Tribolium castaneum: one gene and its partner. The protein of the gene in region 2 interacts with the protein of the main gene of each other region in a pairwise test. Links are inferred from orthologs where the notes say so. Each region holds a gene or a part of one and is shown on either strand. Other genes may lie near its edges. The genes, in order: Sxl and Unr.

What was found.
Region 1: the proteins of Unr (region 2) and Sxl interact in binary tests that used the Drosophila melanogaster proteins (3 or more experiments, as listed by UniProt). The link is inferred for Tribolium castaneum from reciprocal best matches to the Drosophila melanogaster genes Unr and Sxl.

Annotation. Positions count from the first base shown.
Region 1 is NC_087401.1:17,596,211-17,599,509, forward strand, and holds Sxl (sex lethal), read right to left. Parts: upstream 1,942-3,299; 5' UTR 1,863-1,941; intron 1,753-1,862; 5' UTR 1,741-1,752; coding exon 1,460-1,740; intron 1,404-1,459; coding exon 1,206-1,403; intron 1,142-1,205; coding exon 964-1,141; 3' UTR 937-963; downstream 1-936. Other genes in the region: GPN-loop GTPase 1, read left to right, coding at 25-215, 265-374; WSCD family member AGAP003962, read right to left, coding at 2,199-2,527, 2,580-3,039, 3,084-3,203. UniProt on the Drosophila melanogaster protein: Sex determination switch protein, which controls sexual development and dosage compensation in females. Sxl protein is only active in females: it is inactive in males throughout development.
Region 2 is NC_087394.1:5,367,184-5,371,021, reverse strand, and holds part of Unr (cold shock domain-containing protein E1), read right to left. Parts: intron 1,580-3,838; coding exon 592-1,579; intron 1-591. UniProt on the Drosophila melanogaster protein: RNA-binding protein that acts as a regulator of dosage compensation in both males and females.

The DNA of each region.
Region 1 (3,299 bases), on a different chromosome or scaffold from region 2:
TTTATTTATTTATATCTATTTTAGTGAATATAGAAGCGAATGGTTGAAAATAAAACAACAATCAGAAGCACAAAAATTGGAAAAATCGAAAAATAATGAACAATGTTTTACGTTGTCGGCTGGGGCCGAATTGTCTGATGTTTTTCTAAGACATCCAGGTAATGACAGTAGTGAAGACTCTGAGGGTGAAGAACAGGCGGCTCCATATCAACAAAGTAGGGACTTGTTTGATTAATTTATTATTTGATTTGATTCTTTTATTAGATGTTGATAATGAAAAAGAAGACGATGTGTTTAAAAAAGTGCTACAACAACAAAGAGAAATGCAAGTGAAAAGGGCAAAAGAAGCAGAGATGAAGAAACACCAAACCTAGTAGGTAATTTATTAAATAAAAGGAAAAAATATAGAAAACAACAATTAAAATTTTATTCACTTGAAACTAGAAATAAATTACAATAAATTATTCAGATCGTTGGTTAAGAAAAAAATTAACACATTTTGTGTGTCAAAAAGAAAAAAAAAACCATAGCTGGTGTTAAGTTTTTTCTTAGGCACATCAATTGCGTACATATTTTTTCCTATTTTATATAAATATATATAATAATAAATAAATAAATGTCTATTGTATTTAGCGTTCAACATACAATTAGTTGGCACGCTTTTCTATCAATATAAAAATAAATATAGAAACTTTGTAAAATAAAATCAACTCTTCAATTAACACAAAAACCATTCTCAGTCAGAAACAAAAAAGAAAAAATGAAGCAATTAACAAAAAAACGAATTTTGTAGATAATTATCGCCTGCTCCCATATTTCTCACATTATTCGAATTATAATTTTGGAAGCGATTACGGTTTTGTAAATTATCAGGCGGCTGTGGTGGCATTTTCCTGAAGGGATTCATTGTCCCTCCTCGAAACGGTGGTACAAAACCTAAACACCCGAAATGCCAAAATTAAGTCAAAACCTCCGTTTCTTACCCCTGTTGTGCATTGAAAAACTCCAATTTTCCAAATATTGAGCTTTTTGACGGCCGTGATCTTCTGCTACGCGAACACTCAACGGAAGCATTGCGTTTTCAAGCAGTTTGCCATCAAGGTCGGCTATGGCAGCTTTGGCCTCTTCTCCTCGCGAAAAACTAAACGAAAAACAAATTATTATTTACAAAGTTTTAATAATTATTATTATCATCATTATTATACCGGACAAAGGCAACTCCACGTGGCATTCCGGTAATTTTGTCCTTTAAAACGGACTTTTGGATGATTTCTCCATAGTTTGAAAAGAGTCTGTGAACATCGTCCTCAGTCACGTCTTTGGGTAAGTTAGTGATGTATAAATTGGATGCTTTCATATCGGCACCTGGAGGACGCGAATATGACACTTTCAGGCGTTTGTTTCTACAAGACAATAGCAACAGTAATAAATACAGTTCTAATCTTAAATTTTCAATTACTTGTAATTCATTCCGTTGATAACTTGAATCGCTTTCGCGGCATCTTCTTCGTTGAAATACTTGACAAAACCGAAACCGAAACTATAGCCCGTATTATAATCTCTCATTATTTTAATACTTTCCACTCGTCCGATGGGAGTGAAAATTAGAGCTAAATCCTCTTCAGTTGCGAATTGTGGGATGTAATTAACGATAAGTTTCGATTTGTCACATTCGACTTGATCTCCGGCCCCCACATTTAAATCATTTTGGGGGCCGTTGGCGGCGTTCTCTTGTTGCATCTTTTCAAAAAACTGAAACAAAATGGCCATGTGTCATTTAGAGGTTAGGAGGATGAAATCGAGTAAAAAGTACGACAAAAACATAATCATTTACTGGAAATTGGCGGGATAAAGGGGCTTACCTTTGTTTATTGAAAAAACTTGAAAAATAAATAAACGAACTAATTTTCTACCACTACAAACTTGATTATTTATTGATGATAGTGGGAACAGAATTACCAACGTCGAAAAATGATAAATCACTTTACGAGTTCAGCGATTCTCAACCTTTTATTATTATTAATGTAAATTCAAATTTGAGCAATGAAAATAAGTCGCAAAATTGTGTTTGTATAATTTTATTTTAGGCCTATAATCGTGTGTTGATTGCCACTGTTTACATGAATAAGAGAGATACTAGAAAAATTTGGCCACTCGTTTCGTTTTAAAAAGGCCTTATTGTCGCAACAACGTTGTTGTTAACTCGGCGTCGCAAAATTATAAATCGCCTCGTAGACTTTTTTTTGTATTTTATCCAGTTTTCGTTTCATTTCGTCCGTATATGGATCGAAATTGAGCACTCGACGTTTCCTCCTATAAATTCCTTCCTTTCGTTCAAGTGCACATTTGAATAAATTTTCATCCGTTGATATGTCGAGAAAATTTATAATCGTCTTGAGGGTGTGTTCAAGATTATCGACAAGTTGCTCGTAAAAAATTACGTGCGTTGGTCCTGTAAAATTATATAACCAGTCGAGATTGGTTTGTTTCCAAGCTTCGAGCTTATCATTGACGAATTGTTGCCAATCTGATAAAAGTATAAGTTATTAAAAAAATTATCAATACAATAAATAATATACATTTTCCTTTAGTCCGTTTGTATCTATCGGGTGATGCAAATCCAATGTGACCACCGCTTTGTCGGTTAAATTCGGCTTGGATCGCAGCTGCCGGTGAACGAACCAATATAATCGCTTTCGAAAAGATTTTCCGAGCATTGTAACCCCATTCGTGTGTTTTTACGACAAGAACCGAACCGTTGGCGATATTTTCGGCGGGAAAACCATTTTTCAACAAACCGTAATCTTTGTAAACCGAACCGGTGTAAAAACCGGAAACTTGTTGAAGTAAGTAACGTAACCATGTATTTCCGCTTCCCGGAAATGATACCAAGGCGACGGGTGGTATAGCTGGATGGATGTATTTCAGCTCTGTGGAACACCATTGGATTTTGGAACGACCACGAAGAGGTGGTCTAAGTCCTGGTATTCCATATTCATAGTTTTTTAGACGGGAAAAGGGCTGATTACGGTCCGTTTGCTAAAAACAATTAAATAACACCAATAATTATCATTTTTACTTACTTTTCCGTGTGTTAAATTTTTGGGTTCATGTAGAGTGACCGCTGATAGAAATAAGACGCCTGCTATATATAAAAACAACAATATTGCCAAGATCCAATATCTAACTCTAGTGACATGCATTTGTCCATTATTTTGATTGGAAATTTAACAATTATTTAATATTTTTCTTTAAACAAAATTCTTATAAAAAATTTATTTATTCGTATTGCTATCAAT
Region 2 (3,838 bases):
TCAGGCAATCAACTTGAATGTGTCACTCATATTCGCGATTTAGGAGTTATTGTAGACAGCCAGTTAAGTTTTGACTATCACGTTAACCACATTTTGTCGAAAGCAAACAAAACATTAGGATTTATAATAAGACAGTGCTCTGATTTTTCAAGTTTGCGTGTTGTAATGTTATTATATAATTGTTATGTTCGTCCAATTTTGGAATACTGCACAATTATTTGGCAACCTTGTTATAATGTTCATATTAATCGAATTGAAAATGTTCAGAAAAAATTTGTTAAATTTGTATGTTACAAATTTAACATATTTTATGACAAAAATAATTATATAAACATTTTAAGTTATTTAGGACTATCCTTACTATCTTCTCGTAGAATATTTTATGACGCGTCGTTCGTATATCGTATATTGTCTGGTAATGTAAATTGTAATCCTATTCTTCCGCTATTTTATTATTATAATAATGTTTGTGGTTTTTACTTATGTTATTTTGGGGAATTTGTTAAAAAATCGTCTAACTTACTGACACTTTGTGTATGTCACTTGTCTCACTCAATTTATCGATTTTTTTCCCCTAAAAATCATCCTTACCTTATCTCCAAGCCTCGGGTAATGCTTCATATCACAATCTTTCGAATAGAATGGTAAAGTCTTTTTGACTCCGTTCACTTGATAAGTGATCAACCCCGATTCGGGAGCATGTTCTCCATTCTGATTCTTCGTGGGACTTCGATTCAACCACGTCGTCGTCGGTATCTCCTTAAAAACAGTCCCCGTCAAATTATTCTCAACTCTCGTCTCAAACTGCACGCTTCCATGCGGCAACCACTTCATTCTAATGGCACTTTGTCGATTATTCGAAAACGTACTGGTCTGATCCTGAACGACAGTAAACTCGTACTCGTCATTCACCACCACTTCTCTATCCACATCCAGTATTTCATTGAAATGGAAAAACAATCGAGCCTCACGTTCCACACATTTCAAAAACCCGAACCCCTCCTTCACCGATGCCACAACTCCTTGCTCCCGCTTCTCGCCCGACACCAGAAAACTCTCGTCCAAAAGCGAAATATGCGTCGCTCTATTGAGTCCATCTCGACGATCCGTTGCGATTTTAAACTGCACCCAATCACCATGACGCAGCGTGAAGTCCCCACGTTGGTCCTTGTCTCCGAAGGAGATCTCCACTTCGGAGTGGTCGGGGGCCCGGTAGCGGATGCGCCCCGGGAGGGCGTCCGTTTGGTGGCGTGCATTGGGGCCCCGATCTAGCGGCTTCAGCACCTGGCCTTTGAGGATTTCCGGTTTGAGGTCCTCGAAGATGACGGTGCCGGAAGGTAGACGGGTTATGTTACAGGCGACTTCTTTACCGTTGCGCGTTTGAATGGTGAATTCGACGTCGTCGCCTAAGCGTAATTCCTCTTTGGTCTTGGCTTCGGAAAAGTGAAAGAAGATCTCTTTGACGACGTCGGCGCGTTCGATGAAACCGAAACTTTCTTTCATTGAACATACGACGCCTTGGTATTTTACTGGGTGGGCTGGGTTCTCGAGACGCACGTGGCATGCCCCCAAGTTGCCCCTACGAATAAAAAATAGTAGTAAAAATTGAAGAACAAAAAACGCTTCATAATTTTCGAATGAAAGACAAAAATGCATTTGTCACTCAAATTTTTAATTTTTTTAACTTAATTATTCGTAAATCAATACTATTACAACAGTTTATTTTCAGGAATCATCCATACAATAATACCAGGTTCGTCAAGTTTTACACATCTTTGTAATTTATATAAAATTCTAAAAAAAATCATATGTGATTTTATTGTATAGAAGAACGATTTGACCAACTTTTAAAATGATTACTTGTATGGTGTGTTTTTTCACTTTCGCTTAGTTAACTATAGTCTAATGTCAACGATGTTTGGTCCATAGGTGTATTTTGAGGTAGTGTATCGAAGTGCCTAATTAGATTTTTGAGAAAATGTGTCGTTGATTTTTAATTTCTGTTTGATATTGGGGCAGCTTTTTTCCCATGAATTTTGGTAAAATTGTAAATCACTTCCACAAAAGGTCTCCATCAGGATGGTGATTTTAAAAAAATTATTACATTTGTAGTAAAATTGGCACGCGATCATTGGTGGGTCTGAAGGTTGAGGCAGCTGGTAAGAATTTTTCAGGCCCGGATTACCATTTATTTTATCTGTTTACTCTAAATGGAATGTTAATCTTTAAATCTTACGGCAAGAGTTCATGCGAATTGTAAACGAAGAATTCGTGCTTAGACCAAAATAGTCATCAATTTGAACTTCTGATGTAATTTTTTAATAAAAACATTTTAAACACGTTAGTGTACTTATTCCGGTCCTGGCTTTAAAACCGCCCGATGGGACCGTGCCGCTAGTTGTAAAATTTCAGTCATTACTGTTATTGGGGTAGGTAGTGGATCCTTTTGTAGCGAAGATTTATTACTACTCAATCTTGTCCCTCATAAATTATACTGAAATTTCCGATGAATAATATCAAAATGGCTTTTAATCCAATTCTAACAATTTTTTTCAAGTCAAATTTTTGCAGATTAATTTTGTTTCGTATTTCCGATCTATTGATGTAAAAAAAAGCTAATGTGATTTTTTGGTCAAATGTTTTTTTTCGTTTTTATTGGACAAATGAATCAATAGAAAAAAAATATTTTTTTTCCTAGCGAGATTGGATATCAGTGCAGTGGAATATACTTATTTCCTATTTTTTTTCTCTCTTCTAAGAGGTGAAGTGCCTGAGTGTAAAACTTGACGAACCCGGTATTTAATTTTTGTTAAATAATTAGTAAGTTATTTGTCTCATTCTTTGGAATTTTAAAGCGAGCAGTGTATTGTATTATCTATCCTTTATTACATAAAATACAAAAAAATTATGGCATCAGCGGTAATCAAGGGTTATTTGGTAGTAAAATTACCATTGGGAGCGCCACTGAGCTGAAAAAATGGCGAGAAAATTTTTATTCGCATGTTTGGAGCGTTGTATAAATTTTGGGACTTACACTTATTACACGAAATGATTTGTATCTTGACATTCAACAGCCTAACCTTTTGGAACAATTTATGCTTAAATGTATCAACAGTTGTTGATCTTAATTGCAGCTTTGTAGATTCAATATTTCATGTTTTTTTTTTTTTCAGTGGAAAAAAAATCACTTCAATAATACTTATAGTACTTGATAACGCAATTGTATTAATAACACTTTGTAATCAAAAATAAAATCTTATTCACTTTTTATCCACTTTCAAATTCCAACAAAAAAAACTTTATAATCACGAAAAAGCGCACAACCAAAGACAACGCTAGTATTTACCAACACATATTTTATATATTTTATATTTTAAAATATTTTTAATATTTTTCTCTAAATTGTAAAAAATTAACAGTATACACGCAGAATTGCTAAATAATTGATTAAATGAAGAATTACGAAAATTTCGTTACTGTTTTCGGCACGTCCGAAATGTCTAGTAAATTTTAATCCCGAATTGCAGAATTCAAGTAAAAATAAAAATACAGGGTTATTCACATTAGACTCAGAACCGAGCAAGTAAAAAATGCAACACAAAATACAGACTCCAAAGCAAATTAGATTCCAGTTATGATGACATCATTAATTATTATGTATTTGAATTTATAATTTGATTTTAAAAATAATGATAACGTTTGCTGTAATGCTCAAACATTGTTGCGGTTTCGGCTCGTTTGCACAAAGGAAAGAATAACAACAGTGAAAATAATAAAAAGAATTTCGCTAAATATTTTTATAGAAAAGTTATTATGTGATAAACACACTTATTTTTTA